Linked DNA regions of Sus scrofa. The protein of the gene in region 1 interacts with the protein of each later gene in a pairwise test. Links are inferred from orthologs where the notes say so. Each region holds a gene or a part of one and is shown in the gene's direction. Other genes may lie near its edges. The genes, in order: WDYHV1, GNMT, XIAP, baculoviral IAP repeat-containing protein 2, NME1, KCTD9 and LZTFL1.

What was found.
Region 2: the proteins of WDYHV1 (region 1) and GNMT interact in binary tests that used the Homo sapiens proteins (3 or more experiments, as listed by UniProt). The two-hybrid records come from large-scale screens. The link is inferred for Sus scrofa from reciprocal best matches to the Homo sapiens genes NTAQ1 and GNMT.
Region 3: the proteins of WDYHV1 (region 1) and XIAP interact in binary tests that used the Homo sapiens proteins (3 or more experiments, as listed by UniProt). The two-hybrid records come from large-scale screens. The link is inferred for Sus scrofa from reciprocal best matches to the Homo sapiens genes NTAQ1 and XIAP.
Region 4: the proteins of WDYHV1 (region 1) and baculoviral IAP repeat-containing protein 2 interact in binary tests that used the Homo sapiens proteins (3 or more experiments, as listed by UniProt). The two-hybrid records come from large-scale screens. The link is inferred for Sus scrofa from reciprocal best matches to the Homo sapiens genes NTAQ1 and BIRC2.
Region 5: the proteins of WDYHV1 (region 1) and NME1 interact in binary tests that used the Homo sapiens proteins (3 or more experiments, as listed by UniProt). The two-hybrid records come from large-scale screens. The link is inferred for Sus scrofa from reciprocal best matches to the Homo sapiens genes NTAQ1 and NME1.
Region 6: the proteins of WDYHV1 (region 1) and KCTD9 interact in binary tests that used the Homo sapiens proteins (3 or more experiments, as listed by UniProt). The link is inferred for Sus scrofa from reciprocal best matches to the Homo sapiens genes NTAQ1 and KCTD9.
Region 7: the proteins of WDYHV1 (region 1) and LZTFL1 interact in binary tests that used the Homo sapiens proteins (3 or more experiments, as listed by UniProt). The two-hybrid records come from large-scale screens. The link is inferred for Sus scrofa from reciprocal best matches to the Homo sapiens genes NTAQ1 and LZTFL1.

What each region holds. Positions count from the first base shown.
Region 1 is NC_010446.5:15,985,437-15,988,944, reverse strand, and holds part of WDYHV1 (protein N-terminal glutamine amidohydrolase), read left to right. Parts: intron 1-2,898; coding exon 2,899-3,047; intron 3,048-3,508. UniProt on the Homo sapiens protein: Mediates the side-chain deamidation of N-terminal glutamine residues to glutamate, an important step in N-end rule pathway of protein degradation.
Region 2 is NC_010449.5:38,037,159-38,041,164, forward strand, and holds the start of GNMT (glycine N-methyltransferase), read left to right. Parts: upstream 1-1,200; 5' UTR 1,201-1,243; coding exon 1,244-1,449; intron 1,450-2,417; coding exon 2,418-2,545; intron 2,546-2,693; exon of another isoform or gene 2,694-2,985; coding exon 2,986-3,102; exon of another isoform or gene 3,103-3,241; coding exon 3,242-3,384; intron 3,385-3,483; coding exon 3,484-3,605; intron 3,606-3,683; coding exon 3,684-3,855; 3' UTR 3,856-4,006. UniProt on the Homo sapiens protein: Catalyzes the methylation of glycine by using S-adenosylmethionine (AdoMet) to form N-methylglycine (sarcosine) with the concomitant production of S-adenosylhomocysteine (AdoHcy), a reaction regulated by the binding of 5-methyltetrahydrofolate.
Region 3 is NC_010461.5:101,398,718-101,402,981, forward strand, and holds the start of XIAP (E3 ubiquitin-protein ligase XIAP), read left to right. Parts: upstream 1-1,459; 5' UTR 1,460-1,471; exon of another isoform or gene 1,472-1,683; intron 1,684-4,264.
Region 4 is NC_010451.4:33,040,327-33,044,410, forward strand, and holds the start of baculoviral IAP repeat-containing protein 2, read left to right. Parts: upstream 1-1,280; 5' UTR 1,281-1,418; intron 1,419-1,915; exon of another isoform or gene 1,916-2,097; intron 2,098-3,193; 5' UTR 3,194-3,309; exon of another isoform or gene 3,310-4,084. UniProt on the Homo sapiens protein: Multi-functional protein which regulates not only caspases and apoptosis, but also modulates inflammatory signaling and immunity, mitogenic kinase signaling, and cell proliferation, as well as cell invasion and metastasis.
Region 5 is NC_010454.4:27,415,050-27,419,238, forward strand, and holds the start of NME1 (nucleoside diphosphate kinase A), read left to right. Parts: upstream 1-1,387; 5' UTR 1,388-1,480; intron 1,481-4,189. UniProt on the Homo sapiens protein: Major role in the synthesis of nucleoside triphosphates other than ATP. The ATP gamma phosphate is transferred to the NDP beta phosphate via a ping-pong mechanism, using a phosphorylated active-site intermediate.
Region 6 is NC_010456.5:9,514,879-9,518,947, reverse strand, and holds the start of KCTD9 (BTB/POZ domain-containing protein KCTD9), read left to right. Parts: upstream 1-1,261; 5' UTR 1,262-1,485; coding exon 1,486-1,533; intron 1,534-4,069. UniProt on the Homo sapiens protein: Substrate-specific adapter of a BCR (BTB-CUL3-RBX1) E3 ubiquitin-protein ligase complex, which mediates the ubiquitination of target proteins, leading to their degradation by the proteasome.
Region 7 is NC_010455.5:29,002,446-29,006,455, reverse strand, and holds the start of LZTFL1 (leucine zipper transcription factor-like protein 1), read left to right. Parts: upstream 1-1,210; 5' UTR 1,211-1,216; coding exon 1,217-1,231; intron 1,232-4,010. UniProt on the Homo sapiens protein: Regulates ciliary localization of the BBSome complex. Together with the BBSome complex, controls SMO ciliary trafficking and contributes to the sonic hedgehog (SHH) pathway regulation. May play a role in neurite outgrowth. May have tumor suppressor function.

The sequences.
Region 1 (3,508 bases):
GTTCGCATCCTCATGGATACTAGTCAGGTTCGTTACTGCTGAGCCACAGCAGGAACTCCTATATCTGTACTTTAATAGCACACTTTGTCATAAATAATAGGGAGTACATAGTTCAAAAAAAACCAACACAAAGTAGAAGATGTTAAGGGAGAGACAGGTTTTGGAAAGGCAGAGACTCCGGCAGGGGCGGGAGAAGATCACAGATGGGCTCATGAGGAAGAAAGCAGACAGAGCTTGAGTGATGGGTACGGAGAGGGGCAGTGGAGGAGGTCGTGCAGGAGGAGTGGAGTAACACAAATAAGCCTAGGGGAAGGAATCTGTGGACTGTTATGGGGGAGCAGCTTTTAGTTCATTTATCTGGAGGGTAGGATGCATTAAGGGGCAGTACAGGGAATAAGCGTTCATTTCTGATGCTGGATCTGCTTTACTAAGATAGAGTTGGAGCCAAAGGAAGCACTTTAGGCTCTGATGGTACAACATCTCCAGTCTCAATTAATTATCTGCCCCACCTCACAGGGTCAAATGAAATGTTTGAGAAAGTGCTTTGTGAGCTCCGAAGCACTGGAAATGTAAGATGGTATTTCTGATGTTGTATTAATGTGATTGAACTTTTTATCTCACAGTACTGTTCTCTATGAGAGATTTTTTTCCCTAAGGAGCTCTGAGCACCGGACTATTGCATGTCCCTTGATAACCACCCTGACATGCCTCCCAGCCCTTAGCTGGTGTGGGCTGCACTGGGCATCTGGCATCGAGAGTGAGAAGTCACACGTGCACTGGGACCCAGCTGTGCGGGAGAAGCTCTGTGTCTTTCTTCTGTAATGACTACAGACTAGGGCCTGGCTGGTTTAAAAACAATCGCAACAACATTTTATTTTTATTTTTTGTTTTTGCATGTTCATCTTTATTAGAAATGCCCCAAAATAAAAGTCTGCATGAATATACCAGTTATACTCCCACTAGTGGTAGGAGGGAATCTTCTGTTGTCTCCCTCTCATATACTTGGTATAGATAGATTTTGATTTAATTTTAATTATTATCAAATTGCTAAATATAAAATTGTGTTTTATTATGGATTTAAAGTTCTCTCTGATATAAATGGAATTGAGCTTCTGTACATAGTCTTCTAGTTTATTTGCATTTCCTTTGTGAAACACCCGTTGATATTTTTCTTTTTCTTTTTTTAATTAAAGTGTAGTTGATTTACAGTGTTGTGCAATTTCTGCTGTACAGCAGAGTGACCCAGGCATACATATATATACATTCTTTTTCTAATATTATCTTCCATCATGTTCTGTCACAAGAGGTTGGGTGTAGTGCCCTGAGCTGTGCAGTAGGACCTCATTGCTTATCCATTCTCAGTGTCATAGTTCGCATCTACTAGCCCAAAACTCCCAGTCCATCCCATTCCCTCCCCCCTGCCCCTTGGCAACCATAAGTTTGTTCTCCATGTCTGTGAGTCTGTTTCTGTTCTGTAGATGGGTTCATCTGTGCCATATTTTAGATTTCACATTTAAGTGATACTATGTGGTTGTTTTTTCTCTTTCTGATTTCACTTAGAATCTTTAGTTGAATCCATGTTACTGCAAATGGCATTATTTTGTTTTTTTTTTAATGGCTGAGTAGTATTCCGTTGTGTATATGTACCACATCTTCTTAATTCATTTGTCTGTTGATGAATATTTAGGTTGTTCCTGTGTCTTGGTTATTGTCAATAGTGCTGAACATAGGGGTGCAATTATCTTTTTTTTTTTTTTTTTTTTTGCTTTTTTAGGGCTCCGCTGGTGGCACATGGAGGTTCCAAGGCTAGGGTTTGAATCGGAGCTATAGCTGCTGGCCTACACCGCAGCCAAATTAATGAAAGATCCAAGCTGTGCGTCTGTGACCTACACCACAGCTCACGGCAACGCTGGATCCTTAACCCACTGAGCGAGGGTTCAAACCCACAACCTCTTAGTTCCTAGTCGGATTTGTTTCTGCTGCGCCACAATGGGAATTCCTGAGTGAATGTTTTGTCTGGATAGTTACCCAGGAGTGGGATTGTTGGATCATATGGTAGTTCTATATTTAGTTTTTTGAGGAATCTCCATACTGTTTTCCATAGTGACAACATTTTAAAGTCTTTCTTCCCCTCTCCAGGCTCACCATAAGCCGTCCCCTTTGTTGGTGGTTGGAGGATATCCTTGTAGGCTTTTTTCTCTGTACTCACACTCGTGCATGTGTACTTCTGAATGCTCATGTCTGTCTCTGTATACACATACATTTGAAAAATACAATAATCAGCAGTTTGCTTCCACCATCGAACCGTATAACATGGACTTAATCCACTTTCACATAAATTTACCTATTTTTTTATTTTTTGGCTGTGCCTGCAGTGTGTAGAAGTTCCCGGGCCAGGAATCGCACCTGAGCCACAGCAGTGACGTGCTAGATCCCTAACCTGCTGAGCCATTGGAGAACTCCGCATTTACCTGACTCCTTTAAGTAGCCCCCTGGGACTCCATCTTATGGCTGCACCGTAGTTTGTGAACCATTCCTCTCGGTGGACTTCTGGTTGCTTCTGAATTTTCAGTTATAAGCAATGCTGCAGAGATTTTCTTTGCATATATACCTCTCCATACACACGGCCGATTTTCTGTAGGATGGATTCCTCAGGGTAAAGTTGCTAGGCCAAGGGTGTACATTTAATGTACATCAACATTTCCACCGGTTGCTTACCTGTTCCCCGTCACTGGACTTTTGGCCTGTTTTCAGGGTTTTGTGTTTGCTTTATTTGCTGTTATAAGGAGGGCTGTATTTGTCTTGTCCATTTTTGATGATATGTATGCAGTACTGGTATACCCTTGGAATACACGATCGTAGGGTAATCTGGTTAATTTCAGCAACTTTTACTTCTAGGATTACCATGTTGTCTTGCTTCATGTGTCGAGTGGAGGACAGAGCTTCATTTATGACCTTGACACTGTCCTGCCATTTCCCTGCCCCTTTGATACGTATGTGGAAGATGCCTTTAAGTCTGATGAGGACATTCATCCGCAGTTTAGAAGGTGAGGAGATTCAAGGTGGATTTATCAACTTTCTGCAATCGGACCTTGATAATAATTAATATTCAGTTGTTTTGTTTGTGTGTTTGTTTTTGCATTGGTTTTATAAACATCAGTTGTCTGGGCTTCACCATTTAGTCGAGGTTTGAGAATGATGTGCTATATAGAAGATTCAAAATGTTTTAAAGTTTTAAATGTTGTCCGTTGTGTAAAAGGTTGGCAGTCTTTTAAAAATTTGTGTGATGAGATCCAAAACATTTTTCTGAAAGTTGTTGTGGGGCTCTCTGTCCTTTTCTTATTTTTGGGGGGAGTGTGGTGGGATGGTGTGGGGTGGGTGAGTAGGATGCCTTATGATGCCACCGTGGAGAGCGCTGTGATGGCAGTCTCTGAAAACTACCCTTTGCCCCTGATACACAGTTGGGAAAGTAAAGGCAGCTAGATATATTTCCATGCCTTTGAAGTTT
Region 2 (4,006 bases), on another chromosome or scaffold:
TTGATGGTAAAAGGGGCAGCGGATGGGAGGTTCCTTTGTTCTAAATTCCATACCTCGGCACTTTCTGAAGCCAAAAGATAGGTGAGGAAGGCTGTTCTTGCTGTCTTGGGCTTCCCTGGGTGGCACCACCTTCCTGAATCTCAGTCCAGGGTCTTGTCCAGGAAGAGACCTGTTTTGGGGAGGAGGGTGGCTGACACTAACCAAACCAAATGACCAATTTATGAGGTGATAATGAGCGATATAAGAGCAAGAGCAAGCACTTCCACCCCTCACTCTGGACTGCCCAGTCTGTGGGCACCTCTGTGGAAAGCAGCCATTAGTGGGGTGCTTGGTTAGAGAGGAACTGGAATCAGACTCCATCTCAAGTGGCTCAGGGAAAAGCTTGATGCATCAGCTACAGGACAGAGGAGCACCTGCCCCCAGATGGGTGGGATGACCCCTTGGGCCAGAACTGCTCCTAGACTTGGATGGCCAAGCCAGCATCATCCCCAGATACTCCCATCCCTCCCTTCGCTGGCTGACCAGGCCCTCTTTGGGCGGGGCAGCCCTTCTTTATATATGCTAATAACCCCCACCCTACCTCCCCACCTCCCCCCCCAGTAGGGACGGTTTTGCCCTGGGCACTCATTGTGGACTGTGAAGTTTCTTTCCAGCTCCCGCTTCTGTTTTTTGTTTTTGTTTTTGTTTTTGTCTTTTTGCTATTTCTTGGGCCGCTCCCGCGGCTTATGGAGGTTCCCAGGCTAGGGGTCGAATCAGAGCTGTAGCCACAGGCCTACGCCAGAGCCACAGCCACGCGGGATCCAAGCCGTGTCTGCAACCTACACCACAGCTCACGGCAACGCCGGATCTTCAACCCACTGAGCAAGGGCAGGGACCTAACCCGCAACCTCATGGTTCCTAGTCGGATTCATTAACCACTGCGCCACGACGGGAACTCCCCAGCTCCCCCTTCTGACCCCTCCTAGGTTCCCCTGGGACCTGGCTTAAGTGGGCAGGGGTTGGGAAGGTCCTTTTGCGCCGAGGGATCATCCACAGGGCAGGATCCTCAGGCAGGCGGGAAGGGCTGGTCTAGGATTGCCAGGCAGCGCCCTCCCAGCGTGCCTACCCGGGCAGCCGCGGCTGCGGGCCCAGGGCCCAGCAGGGGCGTGTCCCCGCTCTCACCTCCCATTGGGCAGGTGGGGCCGCCGGCAGGGGCGTATTATAAATGCAGAGCGGGTGGCTGCGGAGCCAGGCGCCTCGCAGGATGGTGGACAGCGTGTACCGGACCCGCTCCCTGGGGGTGGCGGCTGAAGGGCTCCCGGACCAGTACGCGGACGGAGAGGCGGCGCGCGTGTGGCAGCTGTACATCGGAGACACCCGCAGCCGCACGGCTGAGTACAAGGCTTGGCTGCTCGGACTGCTGCGACAGCACGGCTGCCAGCGAGTCCTCGACGTGGCCTGTGGTACCGGGTGAGCCCGGACGGAAGCCAGGGACCTGGGATGAGCAGGCATCCGGGGGCCAGGGGGAAAGAGGAGCCGGGAGGACACAGGCGACGGGGGACGGGGTCTGCTCCGGCCGGGGTCGCCCGACCGCAGTACCACAGCGGGGCACGTCGGGCAGCCTCCTCCGCCGCTGCCGACCTAGAGCCAGGCAGGGGCGCGACGCCAGGGGCCAGGAATGAGTGTTTACCCAGGCAGAACGAGGAGCAGGGCGAGGCCGACGGCAGGAGGGGGCCGAGGAGACCCAGGGTGAGAGCGAGGGTGTGGGCACTGTGGGTGGAGAAGGCGATCTCGCTGGGGCGGCGCAAGGACCCAGGCTTTGGGGCTTGGAACCCGGCTCCAGGGTCATTCCAGGGTCATTCCCCGGTATGATGGCCTCCGGCAGCGTTAACAGTTAACGCTTGTTTAACATGTGCCCCTGCCAAAGCACTGTACCAGGTGCTTTTGATACATGAGGTTTTAAAATCCTCACAAAACCCCATGAGGTGGGTAGTGATAGCTGTTTACCGTTGTAGGAATTTGGCCTCAGAGAGATAAAGGTGGAGAGGAGATGCAAACCCAGATGGGTTAGGGTCTGGCCTGTGCTCTAAACCCCCATGTTACACTGCCTCCTGTGCTCAAGTTACTTAACATCCAGAAGCCTCAGCTTGCCCCATCTCTCGAATGGGGATAAGACCATCTACCTTACCGGACTGCAATGAGGATTCATGTGCATTTGTAGAATGCCTGACTTGGAATAGGTGCTAAAACACAAAAAGGGTGCTACCTGATGATGAGAATCAGATATGCCAGGTCACTGAGGTCAGTGGAGAGAGCCTGGGGACAGGCAGAAAAATGGACTCTGAGGACCTGAGGAGACAGAAGTGTCCGGCACAGGGCCTCCTCCTTGCCTTCCCTGACCACCCCTCTCTGCCTGTTGGGATTCTGGTCCTGCCCAGGGTGGACTCCATCATGCTAGTGGAAGAAGGCTTCAGTGTGACAAGTGTGGATGCCAGTGACAAGATGCTCAAGTATGCACTTAAAGAGCGCTGGAACCGGCGGCATGAGCCTGCTTTCGACAAGTGGGGTAGGCAGCTCCAGCCAGGTCCCCTCGGCCCAGCCACCAAGGACACTGTTCTCTCTGCTCTGGCTCCTTTAGCTCCTGTGGTGGGGGGTTTTGTTTTCCTCAAGGGGGACAGTAAAATCCCTAAAAAGGGAGGCTTAGGCACAAGAACGAGGTATTGACTATGCTAGTTTTAATTACCTTTATAGTATCTTATCCTTCTCCCCCAAAAGAAACCCATAAGCACAGGGCCCTCCTTCCCCACCACAGCTTCCTATTCCCCTGACCCCTCTTCTCCTTCACCCTCCATGTCCATGATGATCCCCTCCCTCGGGATCCCCTCCCCTGGGGAGGCCCTGTGTGTATCTAGAAGGGGAAAGAGAGGCAAGACTGCACTTGGTGGACACGGGTGCTGCTTGTACTGTGGTACCAGCCTGTTCCCTCTTCCCTTTCCTGGCCCCCAGTCATTGAAGAAGCCAACTGGATGACTCTAGACAAAGATGTGCCCAAGTCACCAATGGGTGGCTTCGATGCTGTCATCTGCCTTGGAAACAGTTTTGCCCACTTGCCAGACTGCAGAGGTGAGAGGGTGTGGCCTTGGGCGTAGACCCTGCTTTGAACCATACCCTTTCCAGACGCAGGGGGAAGGAGAAAGATGGGAGGGAGACTGGTGCCCGGGCCCTGAGCAGACGCAGCCTCTCTACCCTTCCTGGAGTTCAGGGGACCAGAGTGAGCACCGGCTGGCCCTGAAAAACATCACAAGCATGGTGCGGTCAGGGGGCTTGCTGGTCATTGATCATCGAAACTACGACCACATCCTCAGCACAGGCTGTGCACCCCCAGGAAAGAACATCTACTATAAGGTGGGGCCCCTGAGGGAGGGAGGGCCCAGAGTGGGAGGTGGGCTCTCTGGGCCCCACCAGAGTTGCAGAAGCTAACACAGCTGGCACTCCCACCTGCAGAGTGACCTGATCAAGGACATCACGACATCTGTGCTGACAGTGAACAACAAGGCTCACATGGTGACCCTCGATTACACGGTGCAGGTGCCGGGGACTGGCCACAGAGGTTCTCCTGGCTTGAGGTACACTGGCGAGGCAGGGGCTTGGGCAGGGGGCGCTGACACACCAGTCCTGATGGTTGGTCGGGGGCTCTGTTGCAGTAAGTTCCGGCTCTCCTACTACCCTCACTGTCTGGCATCCTTTACGGAGCTGCTACAAACAGCCTTCGGGGGCAAGTGCCAGCACAGTGTCCTAGGAGATTTCAAGCCTTACAAGCCGGGCCAGGCCTACATTCCCTGCTATTTCATCCACGTGCTCAGGAAGACGGACTGAGTGAGGCCTCAGCTCCCACTGCCCTCTGCCCAGGCGCTGCCAGGCTCCGTCTGTGGAGGAGGGGACCAGAAGCCCCACACGGAGCCCAACCCCCAGTGCAGATCCGGGGGTGTGGGAAGGGGTGGGCTGCAGCTGGGGGCAGGGATTCGGG
Region 3 (4,264 bases), on another chromosome or scaffold:
CCCTTCATATTCCAATCCTCTTCCCGCTCCCACTGGCTCCCTTTCTTTTTCCTTTCACCTTCCCTCCTTGGACACAGATCATATCCTAATCTCAGTTCCCTTGGTTTTTATTATTATTATTATTTTGCTGTTTTTAGGGCCATACCTGAGGCATATGGCAGTTCCCAGGCTAGGGGTCTAATTGGAGCAGCTGCCAGCCTACACCACAGCCACAGCAACGCCAGACCACAGCCGGGTCTGCGACCTACACCACAGCAATGCTGGTTCCTTAACCTACCGAGTGAGGCCAGGGATCCAACCCGCATCTTCATGGATACTGGTCAGGTTCTTAACTCGCTGAGCCACAATGGGAATTCCTCAGTTCCCTCGTTTATTAGCTGCGTGCTATGGGGCAGTTAGCCCCTCTCTGGGCCTCAATTTTCCCGTTAAAGTGGTGTTACATGAGAGTGCCTACCTTAGAGGGTTGTCAAAATTACAACAAAGAACAGGTCTCATGCCGACCACAGTGATTGGTCTACAGTAAGAACTCAACATGTTCGCTCTCTTTATCTTTTCATTCTTTTAACTCACTTCCCCCACTCCTCCACCCTAGAGCTCATCAGGTAAAAACCGCGGGAAAAAACACCTTGAGGCACAAGAGGAAATGCTTGACCTGGGGGCGGGACTTGAGGTGCCCATTGCGCATGCGCTCGCTCTTTCAGGTCCTAGTATCCAGCTTGTGGGGTGGGGGGAGGGTAATAGGGCCGCGTTCCTCTGGGTCGCCCCCTTCCGGCCGAAAAAAATGGCAGGCCTTCAGCGGCTTCGTGGACGAGCTCAGGGCTAATCGAGGGAGGCCTGGGCAGGAGGGGTAAATTCGAAAATGGCGGAAGGGGAAGGAGGAGGGGCTTTGCTGGGCGGGGGCAGAGGCCAGGAGACTGCGCGGGCGGGCGCCGGGGGCGGATGGGCAGTGCCGTGTGCTGTGTCTCTTTGAGGCCCTGACGTGAACGCACTTTGGATTCCCCGACTCGGGGTTCCTCCCGGGGATAGGCGGGCTGCTACGTGCGAGCTGGGGAGACTAAGAGACTTCCGTTTCCTTCTAGCCGGGGCCTGGCCTCCGGGAGGAGTTGGCATTTCCAGATTGGGGCTTGGGCCGCCCCTCCTCCAGGACCCTCCCCTCAGCACTGCGCGGTGCGCCCCGGGCGATCCAGGCCGGCTCTCAAGGCGCGGTGGGTACTGCCCGAACGGGCTTCCTCCTCCCTCCCCTTTCCTTCTTTTCCCTCCCCTCCCTCCCTCCCCTCCTTCTTCTCCCCTCCCTCTCCTCCTTCCCCTCCCTCCCCTCGGGCCCCGCGCTGCGGGGAAGGGCGGAAAGGCAGCCCCTGCCCGGCGCGGGTGGCCCGCCCGGGACTCAGTGCCCAGGTTCCCTGGACTGCCGAAGAAAGGCGTGGGTGGCATCGGGCCGCCAGGCTGCCTCCTTAAACCCATGACCTCTAAGGTAAATCGAGTCAAAGAACTTTTTTCTCTTAATGATCCAAGGGACACCCCCCCCCCAATCTAATGCCTGCGGCAGGTATGGAGCTGGGTGGGGTGTGTCTGGCGAGAGTGTGTGAAACAGAAAGAATAGGAGCCAAGGACCTTCCGGAAGAGGAAATTAGCTAGTAATTCTTTCCAACCTTTGCTACCCTCGTCACCTCCCCAGCATATTCTGTGAGTAAAACAAAATTCGGTCTAACTTTCAGTTTCATTATTTTAACTCCGTAATACACTTAATTCTTTTCGTTTCGGGAGGAGGGGTTATTGCTGAAACTAAACGACAGCCCACTAACCCTTCAGAAAAAGAAAAACGTCAATCAAAGCTTTGTAAAGACCTATCAGATTTTAATAATCTACTACTTTGTTTTAAAATGTAATTACATCACTATTTATGTCACAAATGTACTACTTTTGTAGTTAATGACACACAGATATTTGCTCTAAGATTGGAGGTTGCTATAGTGTTTGTTTCTTGTCTTTTTTAACTTAACATTTGTTATATCCAGTTCAAGAGAACACTGTTACAGACGGCCATCTTAGAATTATAACATTTTAGAGTTGAAAGGGATCTTAGTTCAACCGCGGTATTTTACAAAAGCAGAAACTAAGGCACAAGAAGATTTCATGGCTTGCCTGAGGCTACTCCATTACTTAGATTAGAACCCAGGTTGTCTGGCTCCTGGCTCACTGCTCTTTCTGCTCAGCTGCTCCACATAGCCTCCAAGCAAGAAAATTAAAACGTATTCGGTGCACATTTTGGAAGTATGTACCACTTTGTGCCATACAACTGTGCTGCCTACTTTCAACGTATTTAACATGTTTATGAAGCCAGTGCTTGAGGTATTTTTCCCCGTCGTTCAAGGAATGGCAAAGATTTAGGTTAAAAAAATGTATACATAGACAGGCCTACTTGTATATGCTCAGATAATTTCTTGAATGGTGCACAAAAAAAAATGTCATCAGTGGTTACTTATGGAGGGTGGAGGGGGTGGGAGGCTTTTTACTTGCACTTCACATGTGACCAAATGTATCGTTTGAATTTTTTACCATAAACAACTATTGATTTTATAACTAAAAACAAGTTTTAAAGTTCACACACACGTGTGTATCAGTATGAACAAGTACCAGTGGTGTGTGTATATATGTTTATATACCTATATGTATTTAGGTATCAGTGGTTTGTACTGTAAAATCCAGATTGGTTCATTTCAGCCCAACTGGCAAAGCAGGCCAGATTATTGGATGCTAACATTTCATCTTTGGTTTTCTTCTATTGATCCTAATGTAAGAAGGTAACAATAATATATGTTATTAGTTTTTATATATTTTTAGGAGATGTGCTAAGCTTTTGATTATTGAATAATGTAGCAAATTATAACATTCAGGGTATCAAATTTGACACAATGAAAAAATTCTGAATGTGGAATCTTTGTGGATAAAACTCAATAAAAAATTTAAGACTGGAAAGGTCCCTGGTAATTAATTGTTCAGCTCTTTTGTTTTTATGAAAGGTTAAGACATAAAGATGAAAAAGGAAGTTGCCCAAGGTTATATATTTGATTATTAACAGAGCTTGGATTAGTGTAGGTCCTAGTCCAGGGCTCCTTGTACTACATCTGCAGTTTTATCACTTTCTAGTGCATTCATCTAGGGGGATGAAGTAATCTGACTAAAGATTAGTCCAGCCCATTTCAGTAGATAAGTATTATTGCAATTAATGTATCAGTTTGTATAATGCTTGAAATATTTTAGTAATGTAAATATTCCCCTTATATTTGGTTGTAAGCCTTCACTTAAGAAGTCTTTTATTTAATTAATAAATGCTGGAGTTCCCATCGTGGCTCAGTGGTTAATGAATCCGACTAGGAACCATGAGGTTGATCCCTGACCTTGCTCAGTGGGTTAAGGATCCAGCGTTGCCTTGAGCTGTGGTATAGGCCAGCAGCTACAGCTCCAATTAGACCCCTAGCCTGGGAACCTCCATATGCCTCAGGTGCAGCCCTAAAAGGACAAAAAGACAAAAAAAAAGTTAATAAATGCTTAGAGACCCCAAATATGAAATAATTTATATTTCACTGTTTTGGGTTTTTTTTTTTTTTTTTTGGTCTGGTAGTTGGTGCTAACAGGGGGAAAAAAATCTATGATTTTTTTTTTAATTTATTGAGCACTTACTATGTATGCCAGGTATTACACTATGTGCTAGAATTCCAAAGATGAGTATGGCAAAATAGATGCCCTTGTTCTTTTGAGGACGGGAGATTATCATGAGCTGTCAGTTCTAAAGCTTTGTCTCTGTGGTCTGATCTGGTAATAGTATTACAGTGTAATCTGTAACACTGTTTAAGGTCATTGTGTGAGCAGATTTGAGGAGATAAAAACAGTAGTGGTAAAATAAGTTGAACTGAACAAAAGCTATTCTTAAGAGGTCATGAGGTTTGGTGGAAAGAGCCCTTGATTGGAAGCCAGGGTTCTTGTGTTGGCTTTGTTTCAGGTAAACTGTGTAATTATGAGCAAATCACTCAACCTCATTGCCTCCATATTTCTTTTTTTCTTTTTCATAACTTTTTAAATATATTCCATTTAATTCAAAACATGAAAAGAGCAATTGGAATATTACATCTTTTTTTTAAGTGGCTGAAGATACTCTTTTATTGAATAGGTAGCATCATAGGTATACAGGTAGATATTAAAGTGTTTAACATTGGTTTTGTTTTCCTAAGTAATTCCCCATTATTTATCATCTTAATATTTTATA
Region 4 (4,084 bases), on another chromosome or scaffold:
CCAAGAGATTGTAACTTGAACTAAACACTGAAATACTATCAAAACTCATGTGCATATTTGGAAGAAGTTTTTAGTCATTGGGAATCAAGCATGCATTTCTTTTCTCTGTATCACAAGCTGTTACAAATACTTTTACTATTAACATTGGAACAGAAGCCCTCCTGTTCTGTTACTGACTGGCAGGCAGAAATGACGGGGAGGAAATGGGAAATGGTTCAGGGTCTCGGAATTCCCCTGGCTGCCTAATTAAGTGGCTTGTTATTTGGAAGTTTTTTTTGAAATATTTGCCCCCTGGAGTTCCCCTGAGAGAAGAAAGCATCCGATATCATTGACAATGAGTGTCTTCACAGAACATAAATTAAAAAATTCTCCTGCCGCCATTCAACTAATACTGCATGCAACTGTCTGTCTTCACCCCATTGCTAAAGAGGGGGCTGGAAAACGTCCCTGACTAGTAAAGGTAGTATTTTGTATTTACAATTTTTTTCTGACAGTTAACTTTTAAAATGTGATGGACAAATGGGCTCCTTTATGGTTCGTGTACGATTTACATATACACACATCTACATAAATGTATATATTCCGTTCTAGCCACATTCAGAAAAAAGGGGGAGTGAAGCCTGGCCTGAAACACCGTGTTCACTTTGCTAGTGATGAAAATAGGACACTTTTCGTTAATGCATTCGTCTCCAGAAGAGAAAAACAGAAAAGATAGTGATTATATAATAGATATGCCCCCCAACATTATAGAATCAAGGCTTCAAAATTAATCTGAGGCTGTTCTGCTTTCCAACACTTGGCTTTTTTCCCATCCCCAGGGCCAGCTGTGGAAGGTTGACGCCAGGCAGCTGCAAAGGGGAAATGGTTACAGCTGTTTACTTAGTTGCAGCCGAAACGCCTCCGGGCTGACTCCACCCTCAAACGCCGTCATCCACGCCGAGGGGAGGGTCCCATTGGAGGAATCCGGCCGGGAACTAATCCCGGCGAGTCGACGTGGGGAGAGGTTCGCCACCCGCGCCCGGGCGTTTCCCCAGGGCTTCCAAAGATTCAAACTCGACGGCTCTCGCCACGTCCCGCTCAGGAGGATGAGAGGGACAGCGAGGGAAAGTGCTCTCGCAGCGAGATTGAAGATTAGCACACCAAGCTCACGCCCAGCCCTGCCTTCCCCTGAGGGCTGACCGCGCGCTGGGTCCCGCTCTCCGCCCACAGACTCCGGGGCGCCCTCGCAGAGGGAGTGACGCGCACCCGGTCGGCGCGCTGACGTCATCGTGCGTCTGCGTGGGCCCTGAGCGGGCGGGGGGGGCCCCAGGAGCTCTAACTGCGCAGCCCAGCCGGCAGTTCAGCCCGCGTCGTTGCTCCCGGGACTGTGGAGGCTCCTGGTGGCACTGCTGTTTCGTGTTGGACGCGTCTGCCCTGTGGTGAGTGCAGGTCCTTCCGGACCCAGGCCTCGCGGGGCTGGGTCGGGGCGCGCAGGCCGCGGGGCCTGCCTTCCCCGAGACTGCAGTTGGGCTGGGGAGGACAGGGCCGGGAGTCGGGGGTCGCAGGTAGCAGTTAGCTCTTTGCTACTCTACTGTCGAAGATGCTTTTGTTTAATTCGGAAGCTCCAGTTCCAAGACATGCTGTCGAAAATAATTTTTTTAATTGACCTGTTTACAAGTCTACTCTGGCCGCTTCTCACTTTTCTGGCCCTTGGCCTTTGGCCAAGATGTTTTAAGAGTTTTTGCAGGGTTTTAAACTTAACCCTCGGTATTCCTTTATTTAATATATTCAAACGGAGACAGTAACGTATCGGCGAGATCTCTTGTTTCAGATAGGTACAACCCCGCTTTGCCACTTTAGTATTCTATTGTATATTGCGAGAAATAACTCGGGGAAATTAATAAAATTCCATAATTTCTCTTCTTTTTCCTTGCAGTCTGTCTCCTTCCCCTTCCCCCCAGCCACAGTTTGCCTAAAGAGGGCAAATCCTGTACAGTTCCTGCAGATTAAAAATATGCAAAGATAGGACCTCAAGTCCTTGTGTAACGGAGGCATTCATTCAAGCGGTCACATTCCCAAGGCCAGTGTTTCATAGGCCATTGTGCTGTGTTTTGTTTTGTGAGTTGCTTTCTGCGAATTGTTGCTTTGGAATTGTGAAGGCATTGTATTCACGAGTTCCTGGTGAATTTTAACTCTTAGTAGTTTTTTTGCCTAGTTCTGGAGAGACTTGACATTAAGAAATAACGTTATTGTCTGGATAACTGCTGTACTGTTGATGATGGGTGCAGTCTATTTTTCACCCTCCCTTTTTACCGCTAGCAAATTGCCATAGATAATTATCCTTAAACTAAATTATAAGTTGTCACCAGAAGAGGGGAGGAGGAGTTCCCGTTGTGGTGCAGTGGAAACGAATCCAACTAGGAACCATGAGGTTGTGGGTTCGATCCCTGGCCTTGCTCAGTGGGTTAAGGAGGTCTCAGACGCGGCTCGGATCTGATGTTGCTGTGGCTGTGGTGTAGGCCGGCAACTATAGCTCTGATTGGACCCCTAGTCTGGGAACCTCCTTATGCCCCGGGTGGCCCTAAAAAGCGCGCGCACACACACACACACACACACACACACACACACACACACAAGAAGAAGAATAGGGGAGGAGACCAGGGGCGAAGTATTTTACTATGTCCATCTGTCTTCAAAGTAGTACATAAAAAAAAAAAAATGTGTACTTATTGCTAAGGGGAGTATACTGCATTTATTTTAAAAGGCTTTGCAATTAATTTTGGTGACAAATTGCTGGAATTAAGATGTATTATTTAGGAGTTCCCGTCGTGGCGCAGTGGTTAACGAATCCGACTAGGAACCATGAGGTTGCGGGTTCGTCCCTGCCCTTGCTCAGTGGGTTAACGATCCGGCGTTGCCGTGAGCTGTGGTGTAGGTTGCAGACGCGGCTCGGATCCTGCGTTGCTGTGGCTCTGGCGTAGGCTGGTGGCTACAGCTCCGATTCAACCCCTAGCCTGGGAACCTCCATATGCTGCGGGAGCGGCCCAGAAATAGCAACAACGACAAAAGACAAAAAAAAAAAAAAAAAAAAAAAAGATGCATTATTTAAAGTATAAGTCACTTTTAGAATTTACTGAATAAATTGAGAAAATTATAAACTGTATTTACTGTGAGAATATGGTTTTCTAAAATAGCTTTTGTTTTTTCTTTTCAGATTTACAGTCCTGAAGAGTCTACTTTTGCCCTCTCATTTTTTCCCATTGAAGTAATAAATCCAGTTGTGGAGACTCAGAAACTTTATGAAGGGATATAGTTTGCATTCTGTGCAATGTAATTTTGTGTATGAATTATATTTTTAATTTATGAAGGGTTTTCAGAAAGAAGGCTAGTAGGGTTAATTATTGGTACATTACGCATGAATAGTGATTCTGTTGATAATGCAGTATCTTCTTAGGCTTATGTGTTAACACTAGAAAGGACAAACTGTATCTTGATAAATATTTACCTTTAATTACAAAATGAGTAATATACATGCATGATTCTTAAACAAAAAAAGTTAATTTTTTAAGAAAGTTTCTCCTGTGAAAATTTTATGGTTAACTAGTTAAATTTATGGAGAAAATACCCTCAATTGATCAAGTGTAATAAACTGTTTGCAAAGTTAGGAAGAAAAACAACATAATGATGCTGCAGGTAATGGAAACAAATATAGACAATATTTAACAAAGATGGAAGAGTTATCAGTTTTTGAAGGAAGCAGAATTCATTTCCTTTGACATCACACAGGCTTCAAGAAAGCTAGTAGGTATTGACATCCCCGAAAGTTGTTAGCTGAAGCTAATTTAACCTTCTTAAGTAAATACTGCGTTGGTAAACTGTGAAATTAGCTTTTAGATAATGCGACCATATGGAGACTTTAATTCTTTTTTACTAGAATAAAAGATTTTTTAAAGTATCATACTAAAGTGCTGGTAGGGAAAGAAGCCTGCATTTAGTTTTTTTCCTCTTGTAGAATAATAATTAATTGGCTTTATAACCAGGCTTTGTAACTTATAACCAAAGGCAAATTAAAGGCATAATTTAGGTATTCTATGCTTGTTTAGAA
Region 5 (4,189 bases), on another chromosome or scaffold:
TTTTGCTTTTTAGGGCTACACCTTCGGCATATGTAAGTTCCCACGCTTGTGGTTGAATCAGAGCTGCAGCTGCTGGCCTACACCACAGTCACAGCCACAGCCAAGGCCAAGCCAGATCTGAGCTGTGTCTGTCACCTACACCACAGTTCACGGCAATGCTGGATCCTTAACCCACTGAGCCAGGATAGGGATTGAACCCATATCCTCATGGATACTAGTTAGGTTTGTAATTCTCTGAGCCGCCACCTGTTTTGTTTTGGGGGTTTTTGGGTTGCACCCGGGGCATGTGGAAGTTCTCTGAGCTCGGGATCAAATCCATGCCACCGCAGCTACCCAATCTGCTGCAGTGACAATGCTGTATCCTTAACCTGCTGTGCTACAAGGGAACTCCTATCCACATAGTTTTACACTTACAAATCTATAATCCCTCTGGAGTGATTTTCTTTCAAAGTGGGAGGTTTAGGTGGAGGTTTTTTCTTTCCTTCCTTCCTTTCTTCTTACTTTCTTTCTGCCTATAGGTGCTCCAGCACATTTTTTGAAAAGGCTCCTGATTCTATCCTGTACTTTACCACAGCCATTCCTCCTGCAGCAGGCAATGATTTTTTTTTTTAAATGTATCAGATGATATCATGCCCTGCTCAAAATTCTCCAATGGCTTCCCACCACATCATAATCTTGCTGCTCTCCAGTTGCATTTTCTAGCACTTAATGTCCACTGGCTCTCAGGTAATCTGACTTCAGCAGGTCTATTCTACTGTCACCCCCTGAGAGAGCACACCAGTCAACATTTAAAGTACTCCTTTACCCTACCCCCTCGCTGTGCTTTTTCTCAGTAATATTTACATACTATGATATATTACATGTTAATTTGCTCATTTGTTTATTGTTTGTCTTTATTCCCAACCCCACGAGAAGTTCCAAGAAAGTTTACTGCTATACCCCAGACTCTGAAACAATATCTGACACATAGAAGGTACTCAATAAATAATTTGCTTGACAGGCTGGAAAGAATGAGCAAATGTAAAACGAGGACACTGACTACTTCTAGGTCAGGCGCTAGTTCAGTTTTCACGCAAAGTGTGAGCGCCACCTCTCGGGAAGCCAGTTTGCTCGCGAAAGAAGGAAGTGAGTCACAGATCTTAAAGGGAAAAAAAAGATGGCTGCAGCGTGCGAGAAGAATAGGGAGAAGCCGTACCGGAAGTTGAACTTCAGGAAGTTGCTCCCTTGAACGATATCCGACTGTCGGGAGGAAGCGTAGGCGAGTGGTGTTCTGCAAAATGGGCTCTCCTGCAGCCGATTATGCGCAGAAGCGTTCCGCGCGAGCGGGTGCTAGGAACCACGAGGAGCTGGGGCGTGTTTCCGGTGCGGGTGACAGGCGACGGAGTTGAAGCCCAAGTGCCCGGAGGGGTGAGAAGGGTTCGAGGTCCTGAGAGAAAAGGGAGAAGAGTGGGGTCCAGGGAGGGGGAGGTGAAGAGGTCGGGTAAGTTCCACTCGGAGAAGTGGCCAGGGGGATCGGGTGGGAGGGACGCACCCATTGACAGGTGCAAACCTGTCAGCTCACGTCCCGCGCCACGTGGACTCGGCTTTGTCCGTGGCTGCTTTTCCCATCAGTCCGTGACTGTAAGGGTTGTGCCTTATTTGTTTATATCGAGTGCAGTGCTCAGTGCTTACTGAATGAATGACAGATATGTATCAAGAGTGGGTGTGGGGAACACGTATAGGGACTGCTGTTTGTGGCTCTTTAGCCCCATGTTCTCCTAGGGAATTCATGCTTGTCTGTAGCTTCTATTAGGAGTTCTCCGCCAGTTCTTGGGCCTTGTCTCTTTTTCTTGGAGGTGCAGGGCGGTTATCATTTAAGACATTTTCTTTGCTCTTATTGAGTACTAGGCTCTGTAACTAGGTACTAGGGAAGTAAATCATCTCTGTATTCAGGGGCAGGCCTGTGAGAAATAAACAGAAAATTCACATATATTGTTAAGGTGTTGTAATAAAAGGCCAACTAAATTATAGGAAGGTAGAGCCAGGAGGTGGTGCTGCTATCCACATAGGGATTGTCTTTCAAGGTGAGGGGACTCCTTTGTCATCTTGTGGAGGCAGAGCAGGTCCTGAGTTGAGACTTCTTATCTGTAAAAGGAAGAGTCTGAAGTAGGTGGTCTCTAGGCTTTCTTCCAACAGATATTACTCATGGCTACAGTTCTCCCACAATCCACCATTTATTGGTTAGTCAGAATATTCATTAATCTTGTGATGTAGCATAAGCTGCAGAGGGTTGGGAAATCTGGATTGTGACCCTCCTTCTGGTACTCCAGATGTGTTTCCTCATTTGTAAAAGAAAAGATTGTAATGAAATAATCTCTAAACTCCTTCCTGTTATAGCATGCTGAGGTAGTAGGTCAAACTGTATTTCATACTGCCTTGTTTTAGACATCACTCACATATTATCACTGTAGTTTCCCTCATCTGGATAATCCAGAAAGATATTCTTTTCTTTTTCTCTTAATACTTCTTGTCTCAGTTCTGCCATAGTATTGGGTACCCAGTAGATGCTTATGTTAGTCCCCATTGTGGCTCAGTGGCTTAAGAAGCCGACTAGTGTCTGTAAGGATGCAGGTTCGATCCCTGGCCTCACTCAGTGGGTTAAGGATACACATTGCCACAAGCTGCAGCGTAGGTCACAGATGCAGCGTGGATCTGGTGTGGCTGTGGCTGTGGTGTAGGCCTGCAGCTGCACTCTGATTCTACCTCTAGCCTTTCTGTATGCTAGAAGGGTGGGTACAGCCCTAAAAATAAAAACAAAAACAAAAAACTGGCTTCTGCACACAAAGGCAAGGAGAGACTGAAGAAAGGCAGACCACTCCAGATTATAGGTGGCAGTTATAATGACCAAGGGAGCTTGAGGTGGCTGCTGTCACCTACCAGAATTTTAAAAGTTATGCATAGAGTCTTTAAATGGGTTTAGTCATCTATTCAGTCCAGATGGTCTCAACAACACTTTACTCTCTCAAGGCTATGTTTTGTCCTTCGAACAGCCCCTACTATGGGGACAGTAGGCAGAGTGTACCTTTCAAAAACAGAGGTGAGGAGCCTCTAGTTGCCTGGGGACGTATTCTCTCCATGACCTCCTCCAATACTCCACCCCTTGCAACTAGCTCTCACAATCTCATCCCCACTCCCCAGATGCATTGTGCCCTGAGAGATCAGCAAAGGGTGGAGGCGGCTCATTTGGCAGCCATCTGATTGCAGTGGAGGCAGATGTCAGAGCAGCATTATAGAGGCATGTGTAAGAGACGCATGGATTAAGACGATTCCCTAAATAATAACAATTTTCTCCTCCAGGAGCCTCATCATCTGAACCATTGATTTACTAAATCCCTTTGTCAGGCAGTAATAATGTCCTGCTTTGGAGGACAGCTTTTGCCATTAAAGATAAAGTGTTCCATAAAGACAGGTTTTGCAGGCTAGTATTTAAGGCTTGCTGGGTGAATTTAGTAAGGGCTTCTCTCTGTGCTATAATGCCCGTCAGGCCAAAGGAGGGGACAAAAATGGTGGCTAAATGATTGTTCCAGTGGGAAACCGAATGTGCCCATCTGGCCTGGAGGAGAGGGAGGTTGGCAGCTCTAGGAACTTGACCTAGTTATGTATGCTATACATGTTGGCCAGGGCAGGCAGCCCTGTCTGGCATGAGGAGATGGAGTAGGCGTGGGATATGCCAGACCAGGACCCCTTCCTTCTCCCCTCTTCAGAGGTGCATGTTCCCTTCCAGGTATAGCACATCTCAACAGGCCAGCTTGTGGCAGGGCTGCAGCCTCCCAGTGGAAACTGAGTAATTCCCCCTCACCCAGGGGTGGGGCTTAGTGTTCTCAGCAGCACAGTCCATTGATCCACAGAGAGAGCTGTTTCCCAAGACATTGGGTATCTTGGCAGGGGTCTCTCGTCTGGCATAAAAGGCCACAAGTTCTACTGGTTCATCATTCAAATGTATCAAAGTCTGGGACAGTACTTCAGTCCACCTGGCCAGGGTGGTTTTACTTTTTAGTACTTTATTTATTTATTTATTTATTGTCTTTTTGCCCTTTTCTAGGGCTGCTCCCGCGGCATATGGAGGTTCCCAGGTTAGGGGTCGAATTGGAGCTGTAGCTGCCGGCCTACGCCAGAGCCACAGCAACACGGGATCTGAGGCGAGTCTGCA
Region 6 (4,069 bases), on another chromosome or scaffold:
AGCGAAATGTGGGAAACAAAGCGGATCTCATACTATAAAGCAAGGCTTTTAAACCTTAGCGAACATCAGAATTGAACTGGGCACCCTATTAGAAATGCAGCTTTGCAGATTCTCAAAAATTCTAATTCAGAAGATCTGGCTGGGCCCGGGAAATCTGCACTTTAAAAAGCAAAGGGGTGATCCAGAAGAACACACCTCTGAGAAACATGCCAAAAAAAAACATCTCTGCGGTAGCACCGTCCCTGAAATCCCACCCAGGCCACTCGCCTACCTTTCGCGCCCGCAGCTCCGCTCTCCTCCGGTCGGGTTTATTTTGAGCGCTCCACCGATGAGTGTCGTGCGCTCTAGACTTCGGCTCTTTGGTCCTGAAGGGTTCGCTCGAGAAAGCAACTGTCGGCCGCCAAACCAGCAGCGAGGAGGCTACCTCGTCCCCCGCCGCCGACGCTCGGATCCCCAGAGCCGGCGTAAACCTGAACCCTCCCCTCCACCCGGCCGCGGCCCGCCGCCCGATTCAAATCGCCAGCCCCGCCTCCTCGTCGTCCCGGCGTTGCTCTGCGAATCTCTACGCCGCCGCCATCCGCACGTGTGCACGCTCACCCCGAAGGCTCCCAGGTCTTCACCTCGCCGTCCCAGGAACAGGTGTGGCTTCGTGAGCTCGGAGGGACATCACCGCTAGCTGCAGTGACACAGTGACCAGGGAAACCAGCGATTGACCTCCGTCCGTGGAGACTACTTTCTTGAGAGTCTCGCGGAGGAAGCCTTCGGTTATGGCTTGTAGCTTAGTTCCCGCTCTTCCGATTGGATGCTGCAAACTTCGAAAAGAATCATTGGGCCAATCCTGACAGAACAGTCGGCTGCTCTTACCCAATCAGCCAGTCTCGACGGCAGCCGTTTCCTGTGTGCGCTGACAGAGTGGGAGGGGTTACAATAGGAAGGCGCTGACTGGTGTGGCTCGCTTTCAGCGCTCCGCCTCCTTCCATCAACCTCCGCCTCTGTATGCAGATGAGCTCTACCTGGTCTTGGCTTTGCGCCTGCTCAGTAACGCTTTGAGCCGCCGCTTGGCTCCTGGTTCAGCTCTGATTGGCCGATAACCCTTCTCCGTAGGCTAGACAGCAGTCTCTGTTCCCTCCTTCCACCTGGGTTGGGTTAGTAAGAGCCCGCCCAGTGCAGCGCGACGATTGGCTGAGTTCTGGCCGGCGCGGCCGGATGATTGGCGAAGCTTAGAGTCAGTTTGGGAGAGGTGGGGGAAGGGCCCCAGGCTGACTGAGGAGCCCAGGGGCGGGGTGGGAAGGAGGACCGGCCAACCTTGGGGTGTGGGACGGAGAGTGCGTGCCTGTGTGTGTGTGCGTCTGTAAGGGAAGGAAGGTGGCGAAGGGAGGAGAGTCCGAGTGGGTGGCGGGAGGGGAAGGGCGGGAGAAGAAAAAGGTGGGAGGAGAGCCAGGTGGGAGGGTGGCGACTCACTCAGGACCCAGTGGGGGCAGCGCGATGAGGCGGGTGACCCTGTTCCTTAACGGCAGCCCCAAGAATGGAAAGGTAAGGGGGTCGGGAGGAGGCGAGGCGGGCCCGTCTGCGGGGGGCGAGGGCAGCAGAGTGCGGAGCGGGCTCGCAGGGCAGAGGGCTGAAGTTGGGGAGAGGGGCTGGGAGCGGGGAGGTGGGCGTGCTCCGGGGTTGGGGGGTGTCCTGGAGAAGGTGTGCGTCGGGTCCCCGCGGCCTCCTCTCAACCTCGGGGATCCCTAGCCTGAGTCTGCCCTTGGACGCCCCAGCTGATATGGGGACCAGCGCAGGTCAGCTTGTGCTTAATGGTTCCTAAGTCCAGGTGGGGGTCCTGGAGAACAGAGGACCGCTGTCACCTGAGCGCTGGAGACTTCTATTCCTCTTCCCATCTCCCCCGATACCCCGCTGCCCCCCACCCCTGGCTCCCGAAAACGCTGGTTCCCACCTTCGTGCTGAGTAATGGTCTGCTCCAGAAAGTGGTGGTAACAACTAAGGCATGGGACATTAATCAGGTGAAAAGAATTAAACTCTTTTTTATCGGTGGATAAGTAAATCCCAGATCGAATAGAAGGATTGAAAATTAGTGACATTTTCCTGATGGTCCCCCCAACCCGCCCCTCTTTTAGGAACCCCAGCTCCGCCGCCGCCAAACTTCTGTACTCGCTTTATTAATCCACCTAATTTCATTTCCTTAGAGGACTGGGACAATAGACCAAAATGGGTTGATTTGACATTACTCTTTGCTGTGTTAGGCCTTTGTTGAGGGTGTGGTGCTAAATATTTGTGCAGCGCTGGAGCTAGCCAAAATGAATCCTGTTCCTTCTCAGCCTCTTGCCCCACCCATGAAAGTTGCTCGGCTTCTTTGGAAAATTTGACTGTTCAAGGCAGACATTTATGGTGTGGCTAAATGACGTTTAGAAATAACTAAGCCTTAGCGTCCGAGGTGAAGGTAGATTGCCCTCACTGTCTTATTTGCGAGAATGCTTTGTTTCCTGCATATTTAGGGAACATAAATTTTTAAATGTTGTCATTGTGCCAAGGTGAAGAAAAAAAAAATAAAGGGCTTTTCAACTACTCTTCAAGCTTGAGTAAATGTGCTCTAAAAATCTGAACCACACCCTAGTTTGTTGGCTACAGTTTTGCGTTCTTCTGGTCTTAGAGGTTTGATACTCATATGAAAACAACTGGCATAAATTCAGGATCCTGCATTTTCATAAATGCTACCTTAAATAGGTTTCACAGGTTCATGTTATTTCTGACCATTATTAACTTTGTCGGTACCTATTTTGTCTGTTGATAACTACCACTCGTAATCTAAAATATGTATTGTTACTAGAAGAAAGATTTAATATCTCTAAAGTCACACTTGTAATTTGTTCTCAAAAATAGACCTCTGACCCTTTTATTCAACATCTCTCCTCTGTTATTCCATGAAAGACAAGATGTTTGGACCCTGTCCTAAATATTTAGCTATTCTCTAAATCTCTTCTGAAGCTACTGAATTTTGTTCTTGTCAAAAATCAGCTGGCTTGGTCTTGCCATATTTTTAATAAGGTTTTTTTTTGTTTGTTTGTTTGTTTTGGAAAGCTCTCTAGTTTTGACTAGGTTAGTTTTTTGGATTTAAATTTTATTTGCTTTAAAAACATTTTGTCTGAGAATCTTGGAAGACTGGGCAAAAAAAAAATCCTCAAATAATTTAATATATTTGTTACAAAGATCATGCAAACCCCACTGGAGAATACCAGTATGATTCGGTATTAAAAATAAGTCTGACCATAATCCTTACTACTTAACTGGAAAGCATATTCTGCGCCAAAGTTATCAGTGTTTCTCCTCTGATCCCTTAAGCTGATTAAGAAAGTAGTAGTATAATTACTCTTATTTGACAAAAGAAAGCAGAATAAAACATAACAGCCTGCTTTTTATATAAATAAAGGAACTGTATTTAGCCAAGATTGGCATGGTGGTGACATGATTTTCATGAAGCTGAAACGACACACTACAGCGATAGAGTTTGATTTCCTATCCACCAGTTGGAATATCTGTGTCACTTTCATTATCTCCTTATTTGCCTAGCTTCTGTGTTTGTTTCCTGGGCATAAGAGTAATGCCTGTTTTTGGGTGGTTTTTTTTTTTTTGGTTTTTTTTCCAAATAAGTTTTTCTCCTTTAAAGCTTGTTCAGTGGTTGCCGGGCCGGTTGTGAAGCCTGGGTTTGGGGAGGCACAAAGTCACCCTGAGGGCTACATCATATGCTCCCATGACTTTTCCATATCCTGAGTAAACATAAGTGTAACTGGTGAATGTTTTCATGTTGAAGAGCGAGCTGTGCATTTTCTAAAACTGCTTTCTGGGGTGAGATGGTCCACCACAGGGGGTGTGCAAGAAGTTCTAGGAGAGTTTAAGAAGAAATAACATATGCCTTACCTGTATTTTTTACTTAAAAATGCAAATTAATGCTAAGACCGGATTTTTTTCAATCTGGAAAGACACACCTGCTTTTGATGTGTAATCACTATGTCAGCTGGGCCCAAGTCTTCTGAGAGAAGGGAATGCATTCACATGTGAAAAGAGTTAA
Region 7 (4,010 bases), on another chromosome or scaffold:
TATGACTACTATTGCCCAGTTTGATTCTGTCATTTTATTATATGTTATGGATATATTTTCATATCAGTGAACATGGATTCTTCCTGGTTCTTTTTTGAAGCTGCAAAAAAAATTCCACTTTATTGCAGCATAACTTTTTCAGTCATTCCCCTAAAAGTGACATATTTAAATCATCTCAAGATTTTTACCACATCAAAGCTGCAGTAAACATCTCTGTATGTACATCTTTGCACTTTTGTTTTTTCTTAAGTCGATTCTTAGAAGTGAAGACAAATCACTGGGTCAAAGGGCGTGTGCATTTTCAGTTTTGATTTCCAGTGTGTCCTCTGAAAAAAGAAGACCTATTACATCTTTATCCTCCTACCAACATTTTCAGGCATGTCTTTTTTCCTTATGCCCTAGGAAATACCAATTGTCAATAATTTTAATAGTTCCTCACTTACTGATGAAGAAAAATTTGAGCAGAAATGCAGGGACATGGAGGGAGCTTACCCTTGTAGATGAGCAGAAGGGAGTCATCTGGGGGTTGGAAGAGGAGGGAGGAGGAGCTGCTTAAGGACCAGGAAACTTTAGGGGACAGCCATTTGGGTTATGTGGAACAACAGCTCACCTAGAATGCCTAAGCAGCTGTAAAGGCCTGAGGAAATTGAAAAAAAAGTTTGAAAAAAACTTTTATAAAGTAAATTCAGTTAGTTTTGTGAATTCTTTGGTTTGCGAGCAAGAACAACAACAATAAAAAATGGCTGGCTGGATGGATTTAAGGTTGGTCAAAGTTAGTGTTGTAACGGAGGCAACTGGTGAGAAATAGAAACATTTCCTCGTGGAGTGATGACCTGGAGGTCTAGCCTTGGACTAGGAAAAGTGAGTCAAGAAGAAGGGACGCTAGAGCAGGAGAAAATAGGAGGTCCACAAGCTCACAGTTACGTCACAGTCAGGTCAGAGGCAGGGTTTGAGGAAAGTGAAGGAGCTGGAGCAGCTCAGATGGTTGGTGATGATCAGAGAGGGTCACTTCTCATTTCAGGATGTCAGCAGAGCAACAAAGCAGCTGTGGGCTGTGATGAGGTATGGGGAGCGGGGTAGGTGCTAAGGTGAAATAGAGCTCAGGGTTGCAGATAGCAGCAGGCAGAGCCAGGACAAAGGAGCGCTGGCCAGGTCCTCCTCTGGGATGGCGAGAGAGCTTGGAGCAGATGTGACAGGCCTCGAGGTGCTTGAATGCATGAAGGATCCAGAGGTTGGTGGAAGATGGTTGATGGAGGACAGGTGGCAGTGGGTAACCAGAAACAAAACCTGCTGAGGGAGGGTCAGCAGGTGACTGTGAAGGGGGCATGGCTTACCAGTCCCTCCATGGGTGTATGTGTTGAGGGGAGCAGTGGTGGGAAGAAGGAAGTATTTATCTCCTGGGGTTGCTTTGAGGATTAAACTAACTATTGCATTTTCAATGTGAAGCATTTGTTACTGAAACACAGTTAAATGTGCAAAAAATGAGAGTTATGCTGACTCAAGTCATAAAGGGTTTAAAAATATATATCCATTTTAAAGAAGTAACTCTTCATCTTCACAATGTTGTAAATTCTAAGGGAAAAGTTCGTTGGGCACATGGGCAGTCTCTCAACACACAGACAGAACCTTCTTGGGTGGATACAAGCAGAGATCCTAGAAAAAAATTAACTCTGGTTTTTATGGTTTCTCTCACATAAAATAAAATATAGAAATTCACACTTTCTGTTAAGGTGCAAAACTGTTTCTGTCTGATACACGCAGCTGTTAATGTTTGCCTTCTGACTTCCACTGTTTTTAATAAGACCAAGTTGTATCAGATAAGAACAATTAGGGGCCATTTATCTCCACTTCTATTCACAAAAGTTACCATTCTGTGAGTGTTAGATGTTCAGAGTTGCCCTCCACAGGTTTAGTTGAGGATGAATTCTTTTTTTTTTTTTTTTTTTTTGTCATGCCCAGGCCAGGAATCGAACCTGAGCCACAGCAGTGATAACACCAAATCCTCAACCAGGATTTGCCCTCTAGACCACCAGGAAACTCCTAGGATGATTTAATAAACCTGTCCTCACCACCCTTTTCCTCTGCTGTACCTGATGGTGCTGGGGGAGCTTTGCACTGACTGAGTTCAGATAAAGACACTCTGGTCCTGGAAAGACACCCTTAGGTTAACACCAATACCTTTGGTGGGTGTCTTAGCCTCAATGGTAGCAGTAAGCCAGATATATAACCTTTTTTTTTAAGCATTTTTAAAATCTTTTAAGTTGATGTATTTATACACAAATGCATGCATCCCTATAAAAGCATTTAACTTTTCAAACTCTTTATTGAAGTTATATATGTAAGAGCATATATATGTATATATGCTCATTAATTTTCACAAAATAAAAATAGAGAACTTGTACCCAGATCATGAAACAATATTACCATCATATTAGACCTCAGAAGTCCCACTTTACTCCTTTTTAGACAATAACAGATACAGAGATATAACTTATCTTTATATTCCTTTGGTTTTTAGTGTGATGGGTTATTTTATTTTCCCAGTAAAGGTAGTTTGTTTTTCTACTCATGACTTACTCAGCAATCTTTTTGGCAAAGCAGTGACACTTTTGGCAACATTATTTAAGCTTTGCTAGGAATTCACATATTAGACTGTTATGGGTTTGTTATGTTCCCTCTGCCCACTCTGCCTTGCTTTGCTAGGCTAACTCTTGCCAGTCCCTAAAGATTCAGATCAGGGATCTTCTTCAGTGGTTTCCTTGAAGTCCTATACTGAACTGAGTGCCACTTATCTAGTTTCCCAGAAAGTGCCCACATCATGTGAATGTGGCCTTCTAAATGGGTCTCTCTCCCCTGCTACACAACTAGGGGCCTTTAGAGCAGGGACCTCATTTCAATCCTCTTTGCTTTCCCAACATCTAGTAGGCAATTAATACATAAGGCCATAAAATATGTGAGATCGGAAGTAAATATTTCCATTGTTATATATAATATATACTAAAATATAATATGCTGTAAGCCCAAGATATGAAAAGAAAACCGCAAAATCTAAATTAATAATAGTTTTATGGAATATCTTCAAAATGTACCATTAAGTCAACTGATCAACTAGAATGCAATTTGTATTTATATAAAAATGTAAGGTTTAAATTACAAAAAGTAAATAATTCATTCTCAAAGACTTATAAAAGTTACATAAACCATCACAGAATTACACTTAATATGAGAAATAGGGATAGCTGAATGTTCAATAACATACGATACACTTTCCAAGAGAAGGCATGCCCAGAGCCAAAAAAAATCCACCACTACCCACAGTATCTGGAACCCGTTAGGAACTCACAAATGTTCGTGCAGATGTTCCTATTTAACTTCAGTTCAATTCTGCAAACATTGCTCAGAGCTTATTATAGCACAGTCCTTGCGGGGGAGCTCAGGTTGATCACAGAGTAAAGATTCTATCCTTCAAGGAGCTTGAAACGCAGAGCAGGAAAGACAAGTATAAACCGACCAAGAATGATATTTCCTTTTGCATTCCTTCTATTTACGCATTCCACTGAGAAAACTTCCATCCATGAACACAGCTTGTACTGAACCATTCAGGCTTTCCAAAGGGACAAGATAGCCTCCACCTTTGTAGGCAAAATTTCCTGAGAAAATTTAGGTCTGTTTCCCATTTTCTAAGATGAGATGCATTTGGTGAACACCTTTACATTGACAGTTATCCAGGTAAACATTTAACAGAGAGCACAGATCTAGGAAGGCCCACCTTCCTGAATAAAACACTAGAATATTTACTCCATCGTTGTATATCTCTTTTTGCAATTTGACCCTTGAAATAATGACAAATCTTAAAGTACATCTCTGGAAATTCTACTGCCTCATGGGATGAAAATTCTGGTTCCTTGCTCAGGACAACCTTCTCCTCCTCAGTTATCACATCCACCCACAACTCTTCCACCCATTTTTAAAGCCCAGCCCAAATTCCAGTGTCTTCTGGAAGACTCTCC